Mus musculus: one gene and its partners. The main gene of each other region encodes a partner of the protein of the gene in region 3 in a complex. Links are inferred from orthologs where the notes say so. Each region holds a gene or a part of one and is shown on either strand. Other genes may lie near its edges. The genes, in order: Cdkn1a, Fen1, Pcna, Rnaseh2b, Pold3, Pold4 and Mcm7.

Region 1 (4,083 bases), on a different chromosome or scaffold from region 3:
GATTCTCAAGGTGCAGACCTCAGAGGCCTAAAGGACCTCAGATGGCCTCTGCCTACAGGTAGAGCTTGGGGCCTATTCACATCCTTTAGTACAACTCAGTCATCCTCCTGCCTCTGCCTCTAGTGTGCTGGGATTGCAGTTGTAAGCCACCAAAAGCTATCGTTAATAGATGGCAATATCACATTCTTTTACGGCAGAGCTAATCCAGGTTCAGAATGTGTGTCCAAAGGCACAGGGCTCACAAGCGGGGTTTGAATTCAGACCCTTTTGGTCTAGTATTGATCATTCTCTCGTCTTCTCACCTTGAGGGGCATGACCAGAGGACTCCATTAAAATCAGCTGGAAAAGCTTTTTTATTAAATATAGACTGAGCTCCATGTTATGGGGAGAGTCTTTAATCCCAGCACTCCACCAGAGGCACGTGATCCTTATGAGTTCCAGGCCACTGGGCCAGCCTGTCTATATAGTACTGGTAGCTGGGGCCATTTTGTAAGCTTGTCTCTCTGTCTCTGTCTCTCTTTCACACACACACAGAGACAGAGAGAGAGATCTATATAGATATAGAAATATAGATTGGCTCATTTCCCCAGACAAACTGAGCCGAAAAACAAGTTTGGTGCCCTTCCCCAGACGGTAGCTCACAGGGGCCAGAGGAAGGAAGGGAAGACACCAATGGACTCGGCTAAGGCTGGATAGTCCCCAGTTTTTCATAGCTGAAGATAAGACCAGGAACCCAAGAGGGGCACGATCTCCACCTTGTCTCTCAAGGGCCACGCCTCCCTAATAGTCCGCTAGCACACCCTGCTAAAATCACTTGTATCTGGCCATCAGGCATATTTTAATTCCCTTTAAGCCGCGGTGGGGGTGGCAGAAGCCCGTGGTGCCACCCGCGCCTAGCCGGCCTTGCAGTCCTCACTGATGCCGGTAGGGGGCGCTGTGCACTCAGGAAATGGCGCTCGGTAGGCGGCGCGTAGGCCGAGCAAGGAGTGGTGAGTCAGTTTCCTGCCCGGCGCTGCCCGCCCGCCAAAACTGCTTGGGCACCGGAGCTGCGCGTCACCCTGGGGTGGAGAGAGGAGAGGAAAGGAGGGGGACCCCGGGCCACAAAACACGTCACGATGAGCCCAGGCTTCCTAAATTCCCGCCTATGTTGGGAAACCAGACTGAGCGCGCGCGCGCGCACGCATACACACACACACACACACGCACGTACACAGACACACACACACACACACATACGCACGCACGCACACACGCACGCACGGACACTCGAGAGCAAAGAAAGTGCTCTTAGCTCTGGCCCCCTCCACCTTGATCTCCACGCCCAAAGCACGCGATGAGTCAGATCCCTGGAAAATAAAAATAGATGAGGGCGAGGACAACAAAAAACCGCCTGAGTGTCCTCTCTGAAACGCGACGTAGGGGACAGAGGAAGCTGCCAGCGCGCCCCCAAATGCCAAACCCAAGCCCAAAGTATTTCCCGCACGACCAGGGTGCAAGTGTAGCCCTTGTCCCCGGAGGTTCCGAGTGGAATGGATGTGCCCTAGTGGGCGCACTCAGCCTGGTCACCTTCCTACACTGGGTGTGGACTGGGTCGAGGGCCCCAGCCCCGGGGCGTCTGATGTACGGCACCCGTAAGCCTCACTCCGCGAGGATACCGGCCGCTCTACAGTGCGGGCTCCTCTCGCGCCCCACGGTCACTGGTCCGGGTCGTGGTGGGCGCGGTGGGTGGGACCCTTTGCGCTTCCCGGGCTGGCAGGGTGGACAGGACCCGCCCAGACTCCCTGTCCCCGAGGGCGCGCCGCCGAGCGGGGACCGGACACCGCGTCCTGGACCTCCCCGTGTCCCGGGTTCCCTGGGAACATACTGTGCCCGCCAAATAGGTCACTGTGCCGCGCGGGGGAGGGGACGGGGCAGGAACGAGGCTGTACCCGGGCAGGGAAAGGGGCTTCTGGGCTGCCACTGACCCATCCCCAGTTGTGGCGCGATTCTGGTCTCAATCCAGTGCCCGGGGTCTCCTTGTCACAATGAGTCACCTCCTCGCCTGTCCTCTAGGACGTGCCCAGGCACGATCCCGAGGGCGGAGGACACAGCTCGCGCTGACCTCAGAGCCCAGTGGGGTGGTGGCTACCGCGAAACAGGGCACTTGGTTCACAAGGACCGGGGATCCGGCGGCACCCATGGGATCGGAGAACCGCTCTGCGCTAAGCTCTAGATAGACTCGCCGAAGCTTGTCACAACCGCCACCCAGGACCCATCTCGGGGCACCGTGAGCTTCATTCTCACGCTTTGGGCGAGCCGCACCTGGAATCCCTAGAAACATTGGCAACCAGAAGCGAGCTCCCGGTAGCCGATCCCCGCCAGCCATCGCTCGGACCCGGTCTCCAAGGACTGGAAGAGTGGCTGCCATCCGTGGTCCTGGAGTTCAGACTCTGTATGCCGAGTCCGCGACATAGCCTGACCCTCGTCACACTCCAACAAACGAAGCCTTCAGCCACCACGGACGCTCAGACCCACACCCGTCATCCACCTGCCGCGGACACACCTGTGACTCTGGCGGGCACGCACAAATACACATATACACACACAGGTGATCCACTCATCACCACACACACACACACACACACACACACACACTTCTGGGGACACCCACTGGGCTCAGCGCATTGCTACGGGGAAGAACTATTGTTCCCTGCCACGAAGCTCTCACCTCTGAATGTCTGGATATCGCTGTGGATCTGCGCCTGACTCCAATTCCCCTAGACTCTGACACCGCGGCGGCTCACACCTCTCGGCTGCTGCAGTTGGCGTCGAGCTGCCTCCTTATAGCGTCGGCCCAGGCCCCGCCCCCTCAGAGGCAGGACCAACCCACTCCTTCACCGATCCCGGGGACTCGCTGGCCCGCCCTCCCCTCTGGGAATCTAAGCCCGCGCCAGACAGCTAGAACCGGCGCGCGTTAAGAGGGCGCGCCCTCCCCTCCCCCACACCTGGGCTATTCTCTTGTCACGCAGCGCACCAGCAGAGCCACATACATCTATGAACAACAGTACAGTTAGAGCTGAGTGAGTGTTTATGGGTCTGTCCCTGACCAACTGTGGGAAGGACTAACTCTTTTCCAGATCACTGATATTAGTAAATAAAATCCTGGGTTTCGGGAGGTGGGTCTGTTGGTACAGTGTTTGCCTAACTTGCTGGAAGTGAAGCCCTGGGTTGGAGCTCCAGGGCCCCATAAACTGGGCATGCGGGGTCACGTCTGTAATAACAGCGCCCAGTGGGGGGTGAGGAGGGGGAAATAGGCATTCAAGGTCGTTTTGACAGCTACCTATTCCGATGGAGACCAACTTGAAATATGTGACACTGTTTCAAATATAAATAAATTGATCATTTGAGTATGATAGCAAAAGCCTGGAATCCTATACTTGGGAGATTGAGGCACGAGGGGCGTTACAGGTTCAAGACCAGCCTGGGCTATCCATTGAGACCCTCTCAAAAACAAAACAAGCCCATAAATAATAAAAAATAGTTTAAAATCCCAAGAAGTCCCACTATGTCTGGAGATTTTTTTCCCCCTCCTCCCAGAAGCCCCTCGGACATCGGGTCCAGAACGCGATCATTTCCTCCCTGTCTCACAGACGAGGAAAGCAGTTCCACAGAAGGAAAGGATGCTGTCAACCGCCTCAGAAATCGGGGAGATTGAGTCCAGTTCTCAGACCACGGACTACCAAGAAAAACAGCCGCCAGGCTCCTTACCTCCCCTCTCCCCTCTTCAGAAGCCAGCATGTGAACATTTCTCACACCATAATACATCCTGCAAGTGAGAGCATCAAGACCTGACTGGGACCACACTAATGGCTACCTGCTGACCTCTGGCAAGCTGCCCAGAGTACTCTGCTTGCAGATTTCTTTCTCTGGGTCCAAAATGAGGGAAATGTCTAATACTCCCCCTCCCAAGATCCAGACAGTCCACTAAAATGACATTGATAAAGGACAATTCTAGAAACATCTACGGATGTTCCTGACAGACATAGCAGTAAGACATTCTCCGTTCCCACCTTCCTCCATGTCTCTAGTCAGTTTTATTTCCTT
Region 2 (2,762 bases), on a different chromosome or scaffold from region 3:
CCACTTTAGTGAATTTCCTTTTAACATATACATAGCTCATTCTCTGTTGTTCTCTGGGAAAACCTAAATGTATTAGTACTCAAAAACTTTCATTCTTCCCGGACACCTGAAATCTCAGTAAGAACAAGGCTTCTTTTATTTACCTACTTGTTTTATAGGTTTGTGGAGACAGGATTTGTGTAGCCCTGGCTGGATGTTATAAGATAGTTTATCTAAACTACAAGACTGTTCCAGGGGACTCCTTTATCTCACAGATGGTGGAACGTGTGAAATCCAGTCAAGCTATGCAAACTCCTAAGTACAAAAGGCTGGTGCCACCACAGCTGCTGTGGCCACCTTACATGGGCACAGCGCCACCTTGTGGTCAGTCCTAAACTAACCACTTGTTACCAGGGCAATCCCAGCCAGGCTGTAGGGGATTTTAGAGGGGGAAAGGAAACCATTATATTTATTCTACAGGAAACTAAGGCACTCAGGGTGTTTTCAAACATTCAGACACATTCTGGTCACTTTTATAATTTTATTGTTTTTTTTTTCTCTTCACATCTTTTAAAATAGAAATAGCCTATGAACAACAGTTTCTTCTCCCAAAACCTCAATTCAATTGATTGCCTCAGAAAGGCTGTCAGAACATCACTTGGAGGCACAGGTCAGTGGCACACTTAATGCCTTTGCCCTGGGGTCAATCCCCAACACTGGAGAGGGGAGAGACAAAAACAAAAAACTACAAATCAAAACTTAAACACTGCCATCTCACTCCCTGCACAACTACTGGACTCAGCAGGCAGCAAGTTCAAATTTCTGCCCACAAAAATCAGCTGGTCAGTACTAAATCTGTTGTCAGCCAGACTTCTCTCTGCTCGTCTCTTTGCAGTTCTTCCATCAGCGAATCCCAGGCTGATGGGCATCTTTCAGGGCACAGTGAAATTAGAAGGAGCAGTAGTCAGTCAGGTTCTAGTCACCTCTCCTCCACCAGCTGGCCAGCTGGGAAACTATCTCCAGCCTCGCTCCCGGCTTTATCTTCTTCTTCCTTAAGACATTGCTCGCAGTTGCACAGAACAATGACTACAGTGTCCATTAACCTGAGAAGTGGTTTGAGCCTGACATCTTTCCTGAGCTAAAAATGAGAAAAAGCAGAGCTACGGCCTTCCTGCCACAGGGTCAAGAGAGGGAAAGCTCTGAAGGGCAGCGCTGGGAAGCAATGAACTCTCCTCAAGACGAGGGACAAGAGGGATGTGCTGCAGCCGAGGGTACAAAACAGATAGACAGCCTGGGGTCAAGGACAGTGGAGGGGAAGGACAGGTTTATTTTCCCCTTCGGAACTTCCCCGCTCCCCCAGTCTTTGCTTTCTTCTTAGCAGGCCCCTTGGGTTCTGGCTCCTTGCGCTTAGCTGAGGAGAGTGAGCCTGTCACCTTGAAGAAATCATCGAGGCGTCCCTGGGTGCTGCCCTGGCGGCTCTTACTCAGCCGCTTGACCCCACTGCGAATTCGCTCTTCAGAAAACTGCTTTTCACCACACATAAATTTGACCAACTCTTCTTCATTTGGCTCGCTCCACTTCAGCTCCACAGACTCTGGGTCCAGTACTTCTGGCTCCAGGAAGAGCTGCTGGGCTTCCTTGTGGAGCCAGTTCTCTGGAACGGGGTACTTGCTGGGGTCCAGCCGCCTCACGATCTCCTCGATGCTCTTATGTTTCTGGATGAGATCCACAGCCCGCTTGGGCCCAATGCCACGGATGCTCTCGCAGTAGTCGCTACCCAGCAGGATGCACAGATCCACAAACTGCTCCTGGTTCAGACCCAGCTCCTGCAGGACGCGGCTCAGATGGAACTCTTGGATGGGCAGCTTCTTGGCCTCACTGGCAGTTAAGTGTCGCATTAGCACGGGGCTGCCAAAAGTGAGGCAGTCCATGTCCTCCGTGGCCGCAGCATAGACTTTGCCAGCCTTTGCCAGGGCAGCACAGCTGGCCTCTGCCTCGCTGGGTGCATCAAGGTAAGGGATGCCCATGAGGCTCAGCAGGTGTTTGCACTCATCATTGTGTTGCTTGGTGACCTTCACGAGCCTCTTGGTGAACTTCTCCACCTCCTCCTCCATCCCAGCCTCCTGAGCCTGCTGCAGTTGCTTCTCAGCCTCGGCGCGCCTCTCACTGCGCTTGGCCAGCTCGCCTGACTTCAGCTGTGGTGGTTTGCCATCAAAGACGTACACAGGCTTGATGCCATTCTCCATCATGCGGATGGTACGGTAGAACATGCCCATCAGGTGGCTGGTGGTCTCACCCTCCTCGTTCTGCAGCACATCCCCACCCTGACGAACAGCAATCAGGAACTGGTAGATGCTCATGGAGGCATCGATGGCCACTTTGCGACCAAAGTAGCTCTTGATGTCATTCTCACGGATGGCACTGGGGGCCACATCAGCAATTAGTTTGGCAAGGCCGTGAATTCCCATGGTAGCACAGGAGCAATGGCTAAAACAAAGAAAGAAGAGTAAGAGGAGGAACTTGGAGGATACAAAAGGAACAAAAGTTTTAAGTGGCAACATTCACCAGTCTCATGGTTCATCAAACTTAACATGAGACACAGCAGGACTCCAAGCCAGCAGAGCAGAAGAGGCAAAGGTGAACAAGATCCACCATTCTCAAGCAGGCCTCCTGACAATCAGAAGCTGTTCTGGGCGCTTCAAGGAATGAGATCTGGGATGTTCTTTTGTTTTTGTTTTTTTTTTTGGTTTTCCGAGACAGGGTTTCTTTGTGTAGCCCTGGCT
Region 3 (4,120 bases):
AATAATTCAGCAGATTAAGGTTAAGAACTAGTTCTTGGGTTGTGTGTTTATCTATGTTCGAATTCTTACACTTTCATTTACTTTAAATTCATGCAGAGGCCAAGTAACACCTTATATTTACCTTAAATACTTGCAGTAAGCACTCTGAATTTCACTATACTAAACCCTAAAAATCCTATTTAGTTCAGACTTCTGTGTGTAATTCTGATGCTCAGGCTAGCTAGCAAAACTTAAAAAAGAAAAAAAAAAGTGTAGCCATGAAATATACATTGGATTCCTGAGAAAAAGCCTCGATTCAGGGATACTTAGAAATTAAAGAGGCCTAGTATGTTCTACTTGAATGAGGAGGACTCGGAGAACATCTTCCTTTGCCTTCCCAATTTCTTCCTCATTCTTTTTGAGCTAGATTTTCTGCCAGGTTGACTTTAAGCTGAGAATCTTCCTGCTGTAGCTTTGAGTACTACAGTTGTGGGTTTGAGACATCATGCCCAGCTTTCTCTATGGATGTAACTGTCAAGAGCATTTAATACAACTCTTTCCACATTTTGTGAAGTCTTTCTTATTTCCCTTGGGACTGCAAATACTCTTGAACCTGCAACACATAAAGCTACATACACCCCCAACCATTTTCTTTTGCTCACTTGCCAACCCTCACTTATTTGCCAAGAGTATTTCCAGGAAGCAAAAGGCTGTACACTTAGCTTTCCAAATGCTACCTGTAAAAGCTTATGGAGTCGTCTCTGAGCTCTAAGATAGCTTGGTCTACTCAAGACTCCATCTCAAAATGAATGAATAAATAAAAACAAAAGCCGAGGCTCCATCCCTGCTTCAGACACCTAACTGGACGCCCCCTTACTACTCACCGCCTCCTCTTCTTTATCCACATTACTTGTTTGTGACAACTTAATGTTCCCATTGCCAAGCTCTCCACTTGCAGAAAACTTCACCCCATTCTTTGCACAGGATATCACAACAGCATCTCCAATGTGGCTAAGGTCTCGGCATATACGTGCAAATTCACCCGACGGCATCTTTATTACACAGCTGTACTCCTGTTCCTGTAAACCCACAAGTTAAAGGTCAGTCTAGAAAAGGGGGAAGGCTCAGCTTCATGTTCTCAAGATTTAGCATCTTAACCAGAACTCAGAATGCAAGACTTCTGGTTTCTTTAAAACTCAATCAACTTTAGACTGCTGTGGTTTAGTGAAATGGCAGTGTGCCATTCATCCCCAATACCACCACTCCACTCAGAACACGCATCAGCTGGTATCACAGCAGGGTAACACACAATCAGAAACAAGGTAACTCACTGGGATTCCAAGTTGCTCCACATCTAAGTCCATTAACTTCATTTCATAGTCTGAAACTTTCTCTTGATCTACCAAAAGAAGGAAAATGTTACCAAAGCACACCACACGGTCCTATCTATGATGGAAATTTTACAATATTGTTAATATTTTTTTTTGGTTTTGAGAAACAGAAACAACACGTAACTACCGAGTTTTAAAGGTGTTTAACTTACTTGGTGCTTCGAATACTAGTGCTAAGGTGTCTGCATTATCTTCAGCCCTTAATGTAATGATGTCTTCATTACCAGCACATTTTAGAATTTTGGACATGCTAGGGGGGAAAAAAAAAAAGACAGGCTTTATCAACATGTAATCCACATCTATATTTTAAAAAGCAATTACAAGTTGTACCATTTCACACTCACGGTTGGAGAACTGTTAAAGGGGCTAAGGGTACCCCAAACTCTCTCAGGGGTGAAGCAAATTACCGGGTATATGTGATTCTTAAAACCGACTTAGTAAAATGCACTAAAAGCCAACATTCGAGAAAGCATCTTTTTGAGCGGGGTGTCCTTGGTTTCTAGTGTACTGGAGAATGTGCCCCATCACGTCTGGCCTTTTCGTAAATCTTTCAAAATGTATACAAGTGGCACTAATCCATGTATCTGTACTAAAATAAGTCACACACTGTCCTTGAACACGTATACAGGAGGCACTAACCTAGGTAGCTGTAGCAAAGTTAAAAGCTAAAACTGACAGATTTCCCCTCAAATCCATGATGCGCAGTGAGACTCTGGAAGTCAAGAAAAGGTCTATTGTCACTCTAAGTCGACATTACATTTGCACTAAGACTCGTTTATTAGGCGCTAAGACCAGCCACTCAAAGCTGCAGGCATTTAATGAGCACAGCTCCGGAGCACTCATTTTCCCGCGGACTCCCGCTTTGTGGCTTTGGCGCGGAAACAGAGTGGGCGCCACTGCCAGCGCGGGCTTTTCGGAACCGCGCGCTTTGGTGAGGGCTGCCCCCGACACCATAGACCAATCAGAAAGCGCGGATGGCCAAGCCAGCCAATGAGCGTGCAGAGTCACAGCCCCGCCAAGAGCGGAAGCGGGAAGAGTGGGGCCCCGCTCCCGCCACCCGCTCACCTGGTGAGGTTCACGCCCATGGCTAGGTTGCGGTCGCAGCGGTATGTGTCGAAGCCTTCGGAGCGCAGAGTAAGCTGTACCAAGGAGACGTGAGACGAGTCCATGCTCTGCAGGTTCACGCCGCCCGAGCTGACGTCCCAGCAGGCCTCATTGATGAGGTCTTTGAGAGCCTCCAGCACCTTCTTCAGGATGGAGCCCTGGATCAGGCGTGCCTCAAACATGGTGGCGGAGTTGTGGCGACTAGATGAGAGCTACTCTAAGAGGAACGAGGTCTGGCTGCCAAGGTCCCCCGATTCACGATGCAGAAGCGGCAGCGAAGGCCTACAGCGACAACTACCAACCCTCTGCGCCCGCAACCGTCTAATGCCGCGGCTTCCTAGGCGCGCGCCTTTTCCCTGCGCGAGGTCATGACGCCACAGCGCTGATCCACCCACCTCTCCTCAAGGACCAATCGTACCCGTGGTTTGAGCAAGGCCCGCCCCACCGCGTATGCAAAGGCGGGGCTGCGGGGTAGGAGCCTGGGAGGCGAGGGGCATCACGGGGTTCGCGTAGGCTGTCGTCACCGCCCAAGTTTGTGGGAGTTTAGGCTGCAGTTTCCATCCTTAGGAAGTTTCCGCGCCACGGAAGTGGAAGTCACAGGCAAATCGAGCTGTGCGCGGCGGCCTGCCTTGAAGCTGGAGAGTATTTTAAACACTACGGAGCGTTTTCCCTAACGTAAGAAATACGCTGCAAAATATCGAGTAATAAAGAGGCCACCATATTTTAACACCCCTACCCCCCCCCCCATTTCATATCACTTTTCTGTGTGCGTCGCTCTGAACTTTTCTCTCTAAAGACTAAAAAAATACCTCTTAACGTGAACGCTTCTCCAAAGAAGATACCAAGTCCATATGTATCACGTAATTATTTTCCTTTTATGTCTGGTTCTCTACATTTTTCTAAAGGTAGATATTACTAGTATTTTCATCTTAATTTTAGGCTGAAGATGAACCCGAGCCTGAGCCCCATCCTGAAAATGTTAGCTGTTGCAGGTGGAGCGTCTTTCATATGTCCCTGGGCTGCAGCATTTTGTTCTACTAAAGTTTTTTTGTTTTTTTGTTTTTCCTATTGATTATGAGGATGGGGAAGAACTGACTGCAGGTAGATTAACATCATTTACAAAAGGATATAGAGTTTTTCAATTTCTCATGTTTTTTTCTTTTGGTTTTGGTGGTAGGTAAAATATATTTGATAATGAAAGTGTAATACTTTAATGTGAAACTTGATAGTTTCCATTTGGAATGCCTCTTCTAACTGTATAGAAGTTGGTTGAGTTGTGAAGAAAGCTTTTGGTGTGTGATGTTTTATTTATGTGTGTAAGGGTTTTTTGTTTGTTTGCTTTTCACTAATAAGGTATATACAATTTCAGAAAGTTAAAAGGACCGTTTTAGCTGGTGAGAGTGATTAGTGATTATAATTCCAGCACATGGGAAGGCTGAGGTCGGAGGGCCTAGATTTAAACTCACCTTGGACTATCTACCAAGACTGACCAAAGGGGAAAAAGTTTACATAGGAGCATATTAATTCCATTTCATGTTCATTTATTCTTTCCTTATTCACTGCATTTCCCTTTAGTTTGTCTTGTTTGATTTTTCTTTTCCTGGCTTGGGGATTTAGCCAGAAAACTGTATAACTTATTGAGCTAT
Region 4 (3,429 bases), on a different chromosome or scaffold from region 3:
GGGATATAAAAAGCTGCAGCAATATTAGAAAGTAAGACCTAGTACTATGTGTAGAAAGAATAAACACAATCCAATCCGGCTTAATCTAGGAATGCAAGGAGACTTTAACCTTTTCAACCCTTATAACTGATATCGAGATATTTCTGCTAAAATCTCAGAGCAGAGCCCTGCTCTTCTGGCTCTTACAACCTTTCTGCCCCCTCTTCCTCATGACCCCTGAGTCTTAAGTGCAGGAGTTGTACAGGAAAATGTCATTCAATAATTAAATATCCAAATACTTAAAAATTATACTGTTATTTTAAAAAGCATTCGTGTATTTATTTTTGGCAGTACTGGGGACTGCATCTAGGACTGCAAGCGTAAAAGGCAAGCACCCCACACCACTCCCCACCTGAGCCTCACGCAGCCCAGGCCTTCACAAGCTGGTCTGTGAACACCCTGGAGAAATGCTGGGGAAATGCTCACAAAACGAAAGTCTCCAAAAAGCAACAAAACTATGATTAAAGCTCTTGAAAATGTTTTTATTCTAAGAAAATTACCTGGTTGTACCTGCATAATGGAAAGGGGCAAGATTGCAATTTTGTTTTATTGATTTTTATTTTTACAAAGAACATGAATTCATACGAAGATATGGCTAATTATAAAATTTACCAAAATGTGTGGTTTTGTTGTCCAGCTCATTTCAGCTGAAGCCATGCAGGACAGAGCAGGGAACACCTGGGCAATGCTCACACCTCCCTGGGGAAGCTGTGACTCGGTGACCCATGCACTTGATGGCTTTTCATTATGGCAAAGGTCCCAAAGTCCCCGGACAGCAGTTCACACAATCACTTTCCCACAATGGTTGTGTTTGTCAGACACAAAGTCACAGCGCAGCAAGTGTCTGCAGGATGCGAAAGTACCTTGATTCTCAGCGTAGTGACTTAGGGTCTGGGAGGTCGGGGCAGCGGCAAGAAGAGACAAGACAGAATAGGCAAGAGGCAAGTTTCTGTTTCTGCTTCACTGGATTTTATTTTCGATGCTTCAAATCTTTCCAGTTTTTTTATTTTTTGCACCAAAAAAGGCATCGATACTTTTCATTCCACTTTTGTCAACTTTAGCCAAAGCCTTCTGAGCTGCAGTCATTTTGCTATTTTTCTGTTAATAAAAATAAAGAGAGACTTACAATATTTGTAAACTATCGTACATGCAAATCACACAAGCCTGAATCTTGGTTCAATGAGCACGTGAGTGGCAGAGCTCAAACAACCCTGCTGCCCACTCAGGATCCAGATGTGATAGTGGGGTGCAGAGGAAAGCATACCCAACTCCGAGGAGCTGCATGCTCCAAGGATGGTTCCCTCTGGGAATCATTTTGAGGGTGCATTAAATGCAACAACCATACAGACACGGCAGCAATGGTGGCATCCCACCTGTGTCAGCCATCCAGTGATGAACAGACACGGCAGCAATGGTGGCATACCACCTGTGTCAGCCATCCAGTGATGAACAGACACGGCAGCAATGGTGGCATCCCACCTGTGTCAGCCATCCAGTGATGAACAGACACGGCAGCAATGGCGGCATCCCACCTGTGTCAGTCATCCAGTGATGAACAGACACGGCAGCAATGGTGGCATCCCACCTGTGTCAGCCATCCAATGATGAATAATTCACAATGACTTTGTGAATCAGTCTGTGAATTCACAGAATGCTGGGAGAAAGAGCTATTTAGGCAAAACTTACATTGGAATTTCTTCTGTTATCAAAGCCCAAGGAATAAAATTGAACAAAACAAAGCAAACAAAACAACACAACAACAACAAAAATGATATAAGGATTATGCATTGATAAAATCTAAATGGGAGTTAATGTTTCTTGGGATGGGCAAGCATGAAGAAAAAATGGGGAAACTGTACAGAAATGTAAACTATATATCTAAACTTAGGAAAAAAAATAATTACAACTGTTAAAAAAAAAAAAACAAGCAAAATGGCTAAAAATATGCTGGAAATTTTCTTGTACCCTGAATGTGTCATGAAAAGAGTTACTAGCCTTTATCTGGAATACATTCTCACAAACAGAAAAGCATTGCTTTCACAACACAGAGACAAGCAAGGGTCCCAACTGACAGTTTGTACAAATGCAAAGAGACAATGGGCAACCTGGAAAAACAGACCTTTCTAGTTAAGGGAATGTCTCACCTGACAAACAAAAATTTCAAAAATAAAAGTAGCACTCAGGGCAGGCACGGATGCAGGAAGGACACTCGCTGGCAGCATCTGGGAGTTAGTTTCCTTGCCTTTCTGGAAAGTATTTTAGCTGTCTATTTCAATTGCCTGAAACTCTGAACTCTGAGTCTTTTTCACCGTGGGTAATAAAGTGGTCAGAGCAGATAAACAAACCTTGGTCACTAACCGGAATGTCCAAATACAGGAAGTGATAAAATTACATGACTGTGTGCCATGTCCCACCCCCATGTAGTGAGGGAGGGTTAGTGGTACACACTTATGTAATGCTAAATGAAAGGGCAGAGCCAAGACCTAGGTTATAAATGCATCACGTGACTCAGGATACGTGTAACAAAACCCAGCAAGAAAAGTTACTCAGCAGACACTGCAGGAGAACGCTGAATGGCGGGACTGGGAAGTTTTTTATTTACTCTAATTTCTGAGAATCTTCTTGGCAGGAGTATTGAAAAAAAATTGAAGTTGCTTCCCTCTCATCCACTGTTCTATGGACACAGGGTAAGATTCAGGCCCAGTCTGTCTGACAGGGCTTTCTTAGATTGGCACAATCTAACATGTTCACTATTGTGAACTATTCTCAATGAATTATGCTGCTAGAAATGCAAGTTGATCACTTTTCCTGGTCAGACGTGTAAGTGCAGTCAACAGTGCAGCCATCCTTGGGGACACACTGCCACTGGAGTTGCCAGCATGCCACCACACCTGGACACACATACCTTGCCGGTCTTCAAGTCTTTAGTGTTAAACTTAGTGTAATCTTCTTTGGCTTCTACAGGCTCATCTGATAACTTTAGTTTCTGCAATGTTAGAGCATTGAAGCGTATCAGACCCCATTCTCTCACCATCCTTTCAAACAAACATATCCCTGGGACCCATACTTTACAAACTCCTTTACAGTTGACAAGCACTTCAAGAACTAAGCCACATGTCTCTTCCAAGATGCAGCCTTGGTGATGACTGGCCACACTTGAGTAGGTACGCGACATGGCTCCAGCAGCTCTTCAATGATATAAACCCACTTTGTATGTATCAGGCACGGTGGGCTTCTAAGCAGTTACAGACTAGGTGGGTACAGTTGAGGGGGCTAAATAAAAGGCACAGAAGTTGGAGACAAAAGGCCCTGTTGGGGCTCTGTGCCAAGCGTAACCCATTCTCTCCAGCCCTGGCCTGCTCTGATGGCCACTACTGAACATGGGCAGCA
Region 5 (3,500 bases), on a different chromosome or scaffold from region 3:
ATCCTGGGACTGATGGCAATGAAACAGAGGTGTCTTCAGACAGGCTCAAGGAAAGTGAGGACGGAGAAGACCTGCACAGGAAGCCGGTGTGCAAGAACTATGAACGAGCCCTGGATTCAGTCCAAGGCAACAGAGCTTCTGGTGCTTAAGGCCTGGGAAGAGCTCAGTAATACCTGTTCCCCACCGCGAGGGAAACAATGGAAGTCAACAAAAGAGCACCAGCGCTGAGACTGGGACTGAGACTGCGTTGTGGTTGAGATGAAAAAAGCAACAGTACCCTGAGCTGGCGGGCATGCAGAGGGGCAAGAACAGAAAAGAATGCAGGAGCCTAAACACCTGTCTGTACCAGCAGCTAAGCCTCGGCCTTACAACAGGCCACTCCAAGTGACCTATCAAAACGAGTACTCAGGTTACAAATCACCTAATTTTTTTCCCTCCTTTTTTATTTAACATTGGAATCTGACTTGAAATTTGAAGATGAAAATTAAGTACCAGTGTCTACAATACGTATTCAAAAGGAAAAAGAGGTTCAAGGAAAAGCCATTCCCTAATGTCTCATTTCCTAGGTAACTAAGAGTGACAGTCTCCTCATCACAGACAAGATATTACATAACCTTTCTTGTCAGATTTAGTTTAAAATTTCAGAACACTCACTCTCTTTAAGAGGTACTTTAAAACTTCCATACCATTCACTCTTCCTTCTTCCTCCTGTTATTTCTAATAATGTTTCTATCTCATGAACATGAAGTCTTGTTACAAGAGAACTTACAGAATGTCCGTTCTGTATAAGACTGCCAGACACCAAGTAGGTAACATGCAGCTGAGCTCCCGAATTTTCTTTCCGTTTCCTTTCAACATATTCATAGAGCATCCTGTGCCAAACAAGACAGAAGTGACTCATTAGCATGCAGCTTCCTCATCGACTCCGGATTCATGACTTGGAAGTCATATATATGAAATCTGACAGTTTCTTCAACAGCACAATTTTTTACTTACTGAACAGATTTTTGAAAAAACAATGAAAAAACTTTAGATGGAGCATGGGACTGGAACCAACTTATCTGAGTTGGCTAAGACACCCAGGAAGTAACTGAGGTAAATCTAGAAATATGCCAAGAGGGACAGAACCCATAGTCAAACAGTGGCAATGGCCAAACTGCAGATACAAAAGTGAGTCAATTATCGAGCTATGGCATCCAGAATAAACTTTTCTTGGTTTCCTATCTTCAGGCATAAAGCACAAGTGGCATTACTACATGAATAACTCTTATAACCCGAAGTCATACACTGTCTGCAAGCCTCTATTCTCAAATATCAATAGTCTATATGTGCTTTCCTAGAGATGGAAAGGATTTGGGGTTTTTAGTAATTCTATGAGATCATTATGTTAAATACTTCAAGTCATCATATACATCATGACAAATATATATTCACCTGTTACTACTGAATTACATACAGTCAGATGTTTCATGATGTAGAATATAGCAGATGCTTACACCAGCCAACATCTAAAATGTTCATTAACCACACACTAAATGCAGAAGTGTTGCTTGCAGTAAAGTCTTTATTCACTTTTATCCCAACCACCCAAAATACCAGAAGTTGATGCCCCTCAATGGAGTTTAACAATAAAAAGATGCACATCATCTGTCTTTATTTCAAGAAATATTTAGCAAGCTTCTACAACATATCACACTTCAGTTGAGAACAGCCAGAAACTCAGAAATTCTGATAGCTAGGTATGGTGGTACAGGCCTTTAATTATCCTAGAGGAAGAGGCAGGTGGATTTCTGTGAGTTCAAGTCCAGCCTGGTCTACACAGTAAGTACCAGGCTTACTCCAGTAAGCCTAAGAAACCCTGTCTTCTCCAGACGCCCTCCCTCGCTTACCTTCCACGATACCCAGCCGAGTCCCCTGCTACACCTGCTCCATTTTTCCTGCAGTTTCTGTGCTTTCCTCTCCTTAGCCATCTTACCCTATTTTAGTATGACCAGTCACCCCAGTTTGCCTGACTCAGATAGGTTTCCTGGGAAATGGGATATGGTTGGTCACCCCGTGGTATCCTCCATTGTCTATTTTATTCAACTCCATGGCTTCGGTTTTTTTTCCCTGATGACATCATCATTTGTTCAAACCACCTTAGCCAGAAATCCAGGAGTCATTACCTTTCTCCTTATGCAATGAGTTGCCAAGTCTCATCAGTCCTCCCTCCCAACTAACTCTTGACTGGACTCTATGCTCTCCAACACGCTATACTAGACTATTTCAAGTCCAAGGGTCACCTGTATTCTCTTTTCACCATCATTATCTGTGAGGCTGTCATAGTGAAGTTTTAAAATGCAAGTCAGTAAAAAAAAAAAAAAAAAAAAAAAGTCAATAGATTAAAAAAACGAATCAAAACGTTCCTGAGTGCCCACTTGTGTTCTAAGCAGTAAACAAAGGAGTCACGGCTCCTACCCATCTGGACCAGCCATTTCTTTCCTAGAGCGTAAGCTTAAAATTGGTAGGAACTTGAATCACAGCCATCTGTCTGCCTCCCTTTAATCCTAGGGAGGGAGTCTGAGGCCAGCCTGGCTTACATAGGGAATTCCAGGCCAGGCAGGGCTATATAGGTTCCATCCATCTAATTCCTCCTACTCCAAGTCTCTCTGACACGGCTAGCCAAGCAGAGCACCTCTGCCTCCCGAGTGTTAACAGCTTACGCCCTATCATGCATTCTGACATCTACTACACCACACTCTATCACAGGTTTTTAAGGCTGCCTTTCCATACACCACCAGTTACGTAAGTACAAAGCGTGCACTATTTGTCAGTTTTACGGATTCTTCCGCCTTGCTCTCTCACATCTTCCCCACTTCAGAGACCACGTTAGAAGGGCAGATGAGGGGGTGGACTCTTGACTGTTGATGCTAATTAGGACCTGCTAATAGAAAACCAAAAAGGCAAATACCATGTCTACCATGCTCTCAAGCGTGTCAGCCAACTAGTCTTTTCTCCACAGCTCTTGACCTTGCCTGGGTCAGTCAGCAAACCACTGTCTTCTGCACAGGTTTCCCCAAATAAACCCCAGCTGTTCCCATATTAGTTTCTCTTCTCACTTGTTTTTGTTTTGTTTTCTTTTTAATCTATTTCCCTTCTTACTGAGAAGTTTACAACAAACTTTTTTAAAAAGGAATTTATACCTACTTTAACACGTTTCTTATTTAGTAAAGGCAAGTACTCCATTTCTGACAATAATATATGTGAAATATTCTTTAAAATGAGTGAAAAGCCTTGACATGCTGCAGAATGTTTCCTATGCACATGATGACTTACAACCTCCCCGAGACCCTTAACTTTCCTCTCCTTTAGCTCCCCTGGAACCAAACCAATTTTAGTCCTCCATAATATTTTTCCAATCTGAAGATGTCATGTTTAAGTCAATGAGGAAGGATCTTGTCTGTTAAATAATACTTTAAAAAAAGAACTAAAAACAAGAATTTGTTTTGTTTTCTCAAGAA
Region 6 (3,634 bases), on a different chromosome or scaffold from region 3:
ATTTTCTGCTGGCTGGTCAGGGAAGGAAACTTAGAGTGAGTTTCTACCAGGGAATACCAGAGGCCACTCAGCTTTTGAAAAGACTGCCTTAGAAAAATAGATATGGAAGCCTTGTGGTATAGAAACACAAGCCTTTAACCCCAGCACTTGGGAGACAGAGGCAAGTAGATTTCTGTGAGTTAGAAGCCAGCCTGGTCTATATAATGAGTTCTAGGACAAACAGAACTACATAGTGAAACCTTTTCCCCATTAATTAATTAGTTAATTAATTAATCACTTTACATCCCAGTCACAGCACTGTCCCCCGCCCCATATTGGGACCCTTTAATCTCAGCATTCAGGAAGCAGAGGCAGGCAAATTTCTGAGTTTGTAGCCAGCCTAAGTAAAGAAAAAAAAAAAAAAAAAAAAAAAAAAAAAGCCTGTAGCTGGCTCTCCAGCCCACTTACAGTTTGGGAACTGCCGGCTAGATTAGAGCATATTAAGAGATGTAAGGTCAGAATCTCAGGCTTAATGTACTTTATTGTAAGCATTAGTGAGCTCCTTGATCCAATAACTCACTCATCTGTGCCCTCAGCTAGATGCCCAAGGTGGGCCCTTTAGGTTATCTGCCGACATCTGGTTTATGCCAGCCTGTGCTGGATTTGCCACACCGTAGGTCAGGGGTGTGGCGGGTGGGCATCTGGTGGTCATGATTAGGGCGTGGAGGTGCTCAGCTTCACAGGTCCCAGGAGCTTCAGCAGCCTGCTGTTTAGATGGAGAAGAAGCTGAACCAGGAAGACCTCCACAGTCAGCCTGCTGTTTCTCCAAGGTTGGAATGAGCAGAGCAGGCCATGATGTCTGTCCTGAAGTTCTTGGTGGCTAGGAGGTGCCCAGAGAAGGACAACGTGGGGGTACCTCAGAGTGGGTAGAGATGCCACAGGCTGTGGAAGACAGGGTGGGAGAAGGAAGTCATAGCCACATCAGTTCTGTTCCTTGATGGACTGTCTCTAGTTCTTACTTACTTACTGCCTACAATCCTGTGGCTCTGGTGAACACCTCAGGACTCATGGATAGCTCCATGGGCCCTAGATATACCCGTCCCCCACCATCAGCTCATAGAGGTAAGGATCATTATCGAGATCTATCTCGAGCCAGACTCTTCTTGCTTGACAGGAAGGACCGTCTAAGTCTGTTCCCACTTCTCCAAGTCAAGGTAGCCCCTACGTAGACCAAGAGGGTGGCAGCTCCTGGAGAAGTCCCTGGTTCCCCTGAAAGCTGTCCCAGCCTATCCTGACCTGCATTGGAAGTGAGGGTCTTCAGGGTGTGCCTTCAACACTTGGTACACCTCTAGGGGGGGCTTCAAGCCCATCTGCTCTGCCCGACTCCAGCGCTGCAGCCTTGTGATACCTGCCATCAGGAAAAGAAGACAGGATAGGCAGGAGAATCCAGGATAGTGGACATGGACGGCAGTTTCTTGAGCCTCCATAGTCAGTTTCAGGAGACAGTGTCCAAGAGCTAGGCAGGATTACTTTTGAGACACATTGATAACAGAACTGATTCAGAGATGTGCCTGATGGGAGGGACTGGAAATGGGGTGCTCACCTGTACAAGGCCCATACTGCCAGGCCAGGTCAAACTGCCTCAGCAGCTCCAGCTCTGTTTCCTCCTGGCTGAGGGACTGGGTGTCTTCCCCTGCAATAACATGTGGTGGCTCCTCAGGCACATCCAGGCCTTTGCCCTACCCTGGACTTAGAGCTGTGACTCTATATCCTGGCAATCTCCCCACCCATTTGCCTTTGCCATCCAGCAGACAGACAGCTCATCGGAAGTGCGAGACATGCTAGCTTCCCTTTTTAGCCAACACACACACACACACACACACACACACACACACACACACACACACACAGAGTCCTTTCTGGTCACTTCATGTCCACTCTTCCTGCCACCCCCACATTTTAGAGACCTAGCTCGGGTGCCAGCTCTCCCTTGCTGTGCCCAGGGGGCCCCTCCCTCTTCTTCACAACAGGATAGGAGTCAGTGATGAACCGCTTCCGACCCATGGCGGCCACCCAGGCAGGCGGAGCAGGAGGCAAAGAAAAGGCAGGGCAGCGGGCCTGTGAGAGACAGCTGCTGAGAGTGAGAGAGGGGGCCAGAGAGAGATGGGCCAGCAATGGACAGACAAGTTGACCCAGACAAGCAGAGAGAGGAAGTCCCTAGGTTCCAGGGAATGACGCCTGTCTTCCGCCCCCACAAGCACGCAAACATCAGAGACCTAAGCAAATGGCAAACGGCCTTTGCGGGGCGGGACCTTAATTCTAGCCAATGGCAATCGGCAGAAGACGGGGGGCGGGGTAGCTGCTGCTGCGTTTCGAGTGAGGAGGGGTTAGGCGGAACCAAGAACCTGTCAAGATGCCCCAGACTTCACCACCTCCTCGGGTTTCTCATTGGTCCACTTGGGTCCCTTGGGACATATAGAGAGTTATCCTCGGCCTCTCACTTCCCGTTTTTCCTTCCTAGGCAAATGTTCTTTTCAGCCTCACTAATCCCCATGGCCAGTTTTTAAGTCCCCTGAGAACCTTTTTCTCCTGCCGGTTGGCCCTAGAGCGCTGTGGGATCAGATCTGTAGGTCCAAAGAGAGTTTGGACTAGTCCAGGTCCTTCCCTGCTGCTCTTACTGGCCCCAGGAGACCTTGCTGGAGAAACTCATGAGCTCAGAAGGCTCCTTTCTCACAGTCTGCTGGCAGAGCCACTGTCCACCCAGCCCAGGCATGCGGTTGCTGTGGCCGCTGTCAAGTCCCACAGCCTGCCTCTGTCCACTTTGCTAGTCAGGAAGATTCCATTCCAAGCAGGACGCCAGAAGTATAGTCTCCATTCTCCATGGGTTCATATCCCCAGTTCTTAACTGACAGATCTGCTCTGTTTTTTTGTTTTTGTTTTTTTCTGAATGTGTATCATGAGCAGAAAATAATTTCAATAAACCCAACCCTCATATTGGACTTTCCATGTGCCGAGTTCTAAGCATCTCCCACATGCTAACTCAAAATAGATATCAAAAGAGTTTTTTTGCAAGTGGGAAGTGTAGGCAAATTGTGATCAGTGCTCTTAGTAACAGCTACTGTGTAACTAACTAGCTTCCCGTGTGCTGCAGAAGTGCTCTTAGTAACAGCTACTGTGTAACTAACTAGCTTCCCGTGTGCTGCAGAAGTGCTCTTAGTAACAGCTACTGTGTAACTAACTAGCTTCCCGTGTGCTGCAGAAGTGCTCTTAGTAACAGCTACTGTGTAACTAACTAGCTTCCCGTGTGCGGCAGAAGCTCCCAGGCTTGCGCGGTAGAGAGAGGGACATACACAGTCGTTAGTCCTGGACAGGAGAGCAGGAGCACGAATGCCTTAGAGCTGGAGGAGAATGGTAGGCATTGGGAGAAGACCTCAGGAGGTAATTGCTGTAAACAGCGTCTCTCAATTCTCTACCCATGACCTTTGTTTTGGGGCTCCTGTCATCACTGACTCACCCCTACTACCACCTCCCCCTCACCAACTTCCTGGCAGCGGGTGAAAATGCTGGCCCGTGGGAGTCTGGGAACCAGCACTTGGACTGACCCAGCACTAATCACCCTCTGGAGAGCCCATCCGGTTCTTCCTTCCAGGGGTGC
Region 7 (4,163 bases), on a different chromosome or scaffold from region 3:
ATCTGCATTGACCTAGTGCTTGAGTTATGGTGGATCTATATTGGATTTAGCAGATTCTACAACAAGTAGAAGATACCTGATCTCCACACATGTGCAGTGATGTGGGCAAATACACACACACACACACACACACACGTGAATAAATAAACTTAAAAAGACCAAAGTTTTTGGGCTTTACCAGCACTTCATCCAGGAGTTCGTAGACAAGCGCCACATTGCGTGAGATGGTTCCCTCATTGAGTGAGCCACAGTAGTCACCCAAGAGAGTGGCTAGCCTAAGGAAACACAGCAAATTATGTGTGAATAAACCTCACACGCCCTCCTTCTTAAGTGCCTGTCCCAACTCTACTCACCGGGAAAGCAGCTCCAGAAGGCTGAAAGGAGAGACGTTTTCTAAGGTTGTGGCCACCAAATAGAGCCCACTGTGTCTGATGTGAATAAAATGACGATCACCGTGATACTGAGGCAGAGTTGAGGACAGAGGCCATTAAGAAAAGACCAGAATTGTAGTAAGGAAACCTGCAAGATGGCACCCTGAGGTCTACTAGTGATGGGCGATGCCCCAGATCTAAGACCTGGCCGCCTAACGTGGAAAGGTAGTATCTACCTCTCAAAGTTGTTGATAGTCAAAAAATAGGGTGCATGGCTCTGTAACTGGCTTCTTGTTAGTACTCAAAACATTTATAAACAAATCCTCCCCACACACACACCCCCGCCCCCAAGCTTCCTACCAAGCTGCCCTTGACAGGGAGGAGGCACTCACCCACCTCCACAGTTCTAAGGCCCTGCACACCAACCACAGTAGTTACCATGACAACCGGGGACTCGCCTCCAGGCAGTCCCGTCAGCTTCCGGTAGAAGAGCTCTGCCACATCACGACCACCACTGTCCCCGCGGACTAGCCAGGTGGAAAGATAGTTAAGGAACAGGCGACACAGACTGATCTGGATTCGATTTCTACCCAGCTACCCTACCCCGTCTCCCGGGTCAAAGGATACAGTCTTTATAGATGAGCGGATCCCCCTTGGAAGACAGAATGAAGAACTGGGAAATCATGGCGGTTCTGGAGGATAGACGAGAACACGGTGAAAGTTGAACCCACCCCGCCTTGTGGACGCGGAACAAAAGGCCGCACGGAGGCTGGCGCTTTAAGAAACACTCCTCCCACACACACACTCGCGAGCATTAATTTCGAACCGCGGGAAACAGGGTGTCCAACCCGCCAGGATCTGGCAATCTTTCAACGGCCCGCCCTCAAGCCCCTTGTCATTCAATCTAGACTCGTCCATTGATTGGTTAAAGTTAGGGGCTGGCAGCAGTTGGGAACCCCCTATCTGATTGGCGGGTTCTCAGCCGCACGGGTCACATGGGTGACGACGTTTCGCGCCAATTTCGGTTGGCCGGCTACGTCCCGCCGCGCGTTCGTTTTCTGCTTCCCCAGAGAGAGATTTTTGAGCCCTTCAAGTCCTGCCACACCGTCCCCGGCAGCGATGGCGCTTAAGGACTACGCGATCGAAAAAGGTGAAGATCTATAGGGCTGGGGGCGGCGTCCTCGGAGGGAAACTTCTACCTGCACCTGTTGAGGGGTGCTGGAGTCTTGGGGTCGGGCGGGGGAGGGGGAGTGAGCCGGGATCTGTGACTCCGAGGACAGGCGAACTGCGCCTGCAATAAGCAGTGGGCGTCAAGGATGGAGGAAGCAATCCTCCTTGGAAAAGGTGATGTGTTTGTGTTATGGAGAGAACCCAGTGGAGTCCACAAAGGAGGGGCGCGCTCGGTAGAGACCGGGTGACTTGGTTCAATGCATTCAATACGTGACCCAAGGGACTAGGTTACTGGGCCAGCCTCTGCTGCTCGGGGCGCTAGCGAATTCCCGCGTCCACTGGAGACTGGCCGAAGTCCAGAGGCGGGGCTTGCCAGACCGCTACGCGCCGCGATTGGTTGTTTTCGGCCGCCCTCCAAGCGGAAGTAGAGGCGGGCGGAAGTGGCGCTACCCGATCTTGGGACTGTCGTGTGTAAACAGTGTCCTTCCGCGCGGTGGCCTCGGAGATAGCTGCAGTAGGTAGGGGCGTGCCTAGAATTGGGAGGCTAAGCGCCCGGTGGCGAAAGGTGGCAGTGTGGTGGACCCGAATGGCCCTTTGGCGTTCTGGCCAATCCCCGCTCGGCCACCCGTCTCGGGCGGAGGAATCCTGGGCTGTGAGGCGGCTGGAATCTGGGCCCATGTGCTTCTTTGTTTACTAAGAGCGGAAGCAGTGGCGGGAGCCGGGCATGAGTGCAGAGGAGGCCTAGTGGCGGACGTCCTGGCGGGAGCCTAAGAAAAAGAGTTGTACTGGTAGAGCGAGAGCCGAGGACCTTAAGTCGATTGGGAGCGAGCTGAGAGAATTGAAGAAACTGAGATTCCTAATTAAGACAGAGTGTGGAATTCTCTTGGGAAGGTTGGGTAAGACTCTTGTAGCTGCCCGAAGACCTATATTCTTCTCTGTGTAAAAACGGACTTGTGAAAAGGAACACTGCCTACTTTGGGGAGAACTTGGTCGATTTGTTTTCAATGTTCATTTAACTAACTAGTTCATAGGTTTCGTCTTAAGTGAAAGTGGGTTTCTTAGGTTTCTGTTAAGAGTTTGAAATAAAGAATCTAAAAGGAAAGTTGATTGTTTATTTTATTTATTTTTACATTATTTTGTTACATTATTGTGTGTGTGAGATCGCACGGGCATATCATAGTGCTGGACACCCGCAGGACTCTGTTCTCTTCCAACCTGTGGGTGGGCCCTAGGGATTGAACTCTAGTCCTTGGCAGCAGTGGTCTTTACACCTCACTGCAAAGACTTGGTTTTTATTTTATATTTGTAGAAAAAGTTAAGAAGTTCCTCCAAGAGTTTTATTACGAGAATGAGCTTGGAAAGAAGCAGTTCAAGTATGGGACCCAGTTGGTAAGTCTCAGGATTGGTTCTGGGGAGTGGCGTGGCGTGTTAAGAACTTGTATAAGGTTATCTCAAGTCTGGCTATCAGTGAATGACTTGATTCTGATTGTTTTTATACAAAGTTGGGTTTTTGTTTTGTTTTTAGCTTAAGGGTTTTCTTAGATGTTTTAGTCGTGTTTATTCCTATGTGTTTGTGCTCACAGGGGCATGCCATAGCATGTGTAGAGGTCAAAAGGACAATTTGTGGAAGTCTGTTCTCCCACCATGTGTGTTCTAGAGAGCAAATTCAGATCATCTGGCTAGATGGCTATGTCTAACCTGCTGAGCCACCTCATCCATTCCTAGCTCTTAGTTTTTAGGGGTAGTCTTTGTGTGGCTCAGACCACCATCAAGAACACGCTGTGTAGCTACATAGCTGAGGTTGGCTTTGAGCTCCTCACTCTGTTGCCTTCTGAATCCTAAGTGCTGGGATTATAGACATCTACCACCATGATGTACTGCATTCTGTTCTTTCCCCAGTGGTAGGATAGTGACTTTAGAAGAGCTTTTGTGGGTGAGGTGAACTTGACCCTAAAGTGTTAGCATCTCTTCTTTACCTCAGGTTCATCTGGCTCATCGGGAACAAGTGGCACTGTATGTGGACCTGGATGACATAGCTGAAGATGACCCTGAGTTGGTCGACTCAATTTGCGAGAATGCCAAGCGCTACTCAAGACTGTTTGGTGATGTTGTGCAAGAGCTTTTGCCTGAGTACAAGGAGAAGGAGGTAGGTGGCTGGTTTGTTTCTGAGCTCGTCTGCCTCGTGCCCTGTTTTCTTTCTCTGTCCTGCCTCTCGCCTTTTCTTTCTTTTAGGTGGTGAATAAGGATGTCTTAGATGTTTACATTGAACACCGGCTGATGATGGAGCAGCGAAGCAGAGACCCTGGGGCAGTCCGGAACCCCCAAAACCAGTATCCTTCTGAACTCATGCGAAGATTGTGAGTATCTCTGTGGGAAAGGGCGGGGACTTGCTCTCCGGGGACTTGCTGACAAATGTTTCTCTTTTAGTGAGTTGTATTTCCGAGGCCCAAGTAGCAGCAAGCCTCGAGTGATCCGGGAAGTACGAGCTGACTCTGTGGGGAAATTGTTAACTGTGCGTGGCATTGTCACTCGTGTGTCTGAAGTCAAGCCCAGGATGGTGGTGGCCACATACACTTGTGATCAGTGTGGGGCAGAGACCTACCAGCCAGTACGTATACAATT

Evidence for each region.
Region 1: the proteins of Pcna (region 3) and Cdkn1a are in contact, whole or in part, in a crystal structure (PDB 1AXC), measured with the Homo sapiens proteins. The link is inferred for Mus musculus from reciprocal best matches to the Homo sapiens genes PCNA and CDKN1A. Residues at the interface, in NP_002583.1 of Homo sapiens: Cys27, Asp29, Met40, Ser43, His44, Val45, Ser46, Leu47, Ala67, Met68, Gly69, Ala96, Asp97, Leu118, Met119, Asp120, Leu121, Asp122, Val123, Glu124, Gln125, Leu126, Gly127, Ile128, Pro129, Gln131, Tyr133, Ala208, Asp232, Val233; in NP_000380.1 of Homo sapiens: Arg143, Gln144, Thr145, Ser146, Met147, Thr148, Phe150, Tyr151, His152, Ser153, Lys154, Arg155, Arg156, Leu157, Ile158, Phe159, Ser160.
Region 2: the proteins of Pcna (region 3) and Fen1 are in contact, whole or in part, in a crystal structure (PDB 1UL1), measured with the Homo sapiens proteins. The link is inferred for Mus musculus from reciprocal best matches to the Homo sapiens genes PCNA and FEN1. Residues at the interface, in NP_002583.1 of Homo sapiens: Cys27, Asp29, Met40, His44, Val45, Ser46, Leu47, Ala67, Met68, Gly69, Asn95, Ala96, Asp97, Leu118, Met119, Asp120, Leu121, Asp122, Val123, Glu124, Gln125, Leu126, Gly127, Ile128, Pro129, Glu130, Gln131, Glu132, Glu201, Pro202; in NP_004102.1 of Homo sapiens: Arg19, Phe27, Gly28, Arg29, Lys30, Lys80, Val167, Lys168, Ala169, Gly170, Pro188, His208, Ser210, Arg211, Leu296, Lys297, Trp298, Ser299, Glu300, Arg332, Ser335, Thr336, Gln337, Gly338, Arg339, Leu340, Asp341, Phe343, Phe344, Lys345.
Region 4: the proteins of Pcna (region 3) and Rnaseh2b are in contact, whole or in part, in a crystal structure (PDB 3P87), measured with the Homo sapiens proteins. The link is inferred for Mus musculus from reciprocal best matches to the Homo sapiens genes PCNA and RNASEH2B. Residues at the interface, in NP_002583.1 of Homo sapiens: Met40, His44, Val45, Ser46, Leu47, Glu124, Leu126, Gly127, Ile128, Pro129, Phe207, Ala208, Asp232, Val233, Pro234, Tyr250, Leu251, Ala252, Pro253, Lys254, Ile255, Glu256; in NP_078846.2 of Homo sapiens: Asp290, Ser292, Gly293, Met294, Lys295, Ser296, Ile297, Asp298, Phe300, Phe301.
Region 5: the proteins of Pcna (region 3) and Pold3 are in contact, whole or in part, in a crystal structure (PDB 1U76), measured with the Homo sapiens proteins. The link is inferred for Mus musculus from reciprocal best matches to the Homo sapiens genes PCNA and POLD3. Residues at the interface, in NP_002583.1 of Homo sapiens: Met40, His44, Val45, Ser46, Leu47, Glu124, Gln125, Leu126, Gly127, Ile128, Pro129, Thr206, Ala208, Asp232, Val233, Pro234, Tyr250, Ala252, Pro253, Lys254, Ile255, Glu256, Asp257; in NP_006582.1 of Homo sapiens: Ala453, Asn454, Arg455, Gln456, Val457, Ser458, Ile459, Thr460, Phe462, Phe463, Gln464, Arg465.
Region 6: the proteins of Pcna (region 3) and Pold4 are in contact, whole or in part, in a crystal structure (PDB 6HVO), measured with the Homo sapiens proteins. The link is inferred for Mus musculus from reciprocal best matches to the Homo sapiens genes PCNA and POLD4. Residues at the interface, in NP_002583.1 of Homo sapiens: Met40, Ser43, His44, Val45, Ser46, Leu47, Val123, Glu124, Gln125, Leu126, Gly127, Ile128, Pro129, Gln131, Tyr133, Asp232, Val233, Pro234, Tyr250, Leu251, Ala252, Pro253, Lys254, Ile255; in NP_066996.3 of Homo sapiens: Lys4, Arg5, Leu6, Ile7, Thr8, Ser10, Tyr11, Pro12, Val13, Val14, Lys15.
Region 7: Pcna (region 3) and Mcm7 share a complex: the UniProt entries of both Homo sapiens proteins name them as parts of the replisome complex. The link is inferred for Mus musculus from reciprocal best matches to the Homo sapiens genes PCNA and MCM7.

Annotation. Positions count from the first base shown.
Region 1 is NC_000083.6:29,092,486-29,096,568, reverse strand, and holds the start of Cdkn1a (cyclin-dependent kinase inhibitor 1), read right to left. Parts: upstream 2,801-4,083; 5' UTR 2,708-2,800; intron 1-2,707. UniProt on the Homo sapiens protein: Plays an important role in controlling cell cycle progression and DNA damage-induced G2 arrest. Involved in p53/TP53 mediated inhibition of cellular proliferation in response to DNA damage.
Region 2 is NC_000085.6:10,198,632-10,201,393, forward strand, and holds the end of Fen1 (flap endonuclease 1), read right to left. Parts: intron 2,467-2,762; 5' UTR 2,448-2,466; coding exon 1,305-2,447; 3' UTR 501-1,304; downstream 1-500. UniProt on the Homo sapiens protein: Structure-specific nuclease with 5'-flap endonuclease and 5'-3' exonuclease activities involved in DNA replication and repair.
Region 3 is NC_000068.7:132,250,381-132,254,500, forward strand, and holds the start of Pcna (proliferating cell nuclear antigen), read right to left. Parts: upstream 2,801-4,120; 5' UTR 2,657-2,800; coding exon 2,436-2,656; intron 1,621-2,435; coding exon 1,523-1,620; intron 1,379-1,522; coding exon 1,311-1,378; intron 1,059-1,310; coding exon 864-1,058; intron 1-863. UniProt on the Homo sapiens protein: Auxiliary protein of DNA polymerase delta and epsilon, is involved in the control of eukaryotic DNA replication by increasing the polymerase's processibility during elongation of the leading strand.
Region 4 is NC_000080.6:62,370,068-62,373,496, reverse strand, and holds the end of Rnaseh2b (ribonuclease H2 subunit B), read right to left. Parts: intron 3,026-3,429; coding exon 2,945-3,025; intron 1,138-2,944; coding exon 1,024-1,137; 3' UTR 501-1,023; downstream 1-500. UniProt on the Homo sapiens protein: Non catalytic subunit of RNase H2, an endonuclease that specifically degrades the RNA of RNA:DNA hybrids. Participates in DNA replication, possibly by mediating the removal of lagging-strand Okazaki fragment RNA primers during DNA replication.
Region 5 is NC_000073.6:100,111,501-100,115,000, forward strand, and holds part of Pold3 (DNA polymerase delta subunit 3), read right to left. Parts: intron 873-3,500; coding exon 770-872; intron 1-769. UniProt on the Homo sapiens protein: Accessory component of both the DNA polymerase delta complex and the DNA polymerase zeta complex.
Region 6 is NC_000085.6:4,230,501-4,234,134, reverse strand, and holds Pold4 (DNA polymerase delta subunit 4), read right to left. Parts: upstream 2,243-3,634; 5' UTR 2,044-2,242; coding exon 1,947-2,043; intron 1,721-1,946; exon of another isoform or gene 1,673-1,720; coding exon 1,583-1,672; intron 1,388-1,582; coding exon 1,276-1,387; intron 922-1,275; coding exon 897-921; 3' UTR 501-896; downstream 1-500. UniProt on the Homo sapiens protein: As a component of the tetrameric DNA polymerase delta complex (Pol-delta4), plays a role in high fidelity genome replication and repair.
Region 7 is NC_000071.6:138,169,084-138,173,246, reverse strand, and holds the start of Mcm7 (DNA replication licensing factor MCM7), read left to right. Parts: upstream 1-1,363; 5' UTR 1,364-1,490; coding exon 1,491-1,521; intron 1,522-1,980; exon of another isoform or gene 1,981-2,437; intron 2,438-2,850; coding exon 2,851-2,930; intron 2,931-3,522; coding exon 3,523-3,687; intron 3,688-3,773; coding exon 3,774-3,898; intron 3,899-3,968; coding exon 3,969-4,149; intron 4,150-4,163. Other genes in the region: Ap4m1 (AP-4 complex subunit mu-1), read right to left, coding at 179-275, 354-460, 768-898, 999-1,056. UniProt on the Homo sapiens protein: Acts as a component of the MCM2-7 complex (MCM complex) which is the replicative helicase essential for 'once per cell cycle' DNA replication initiation and elongation in eukaryotic cells.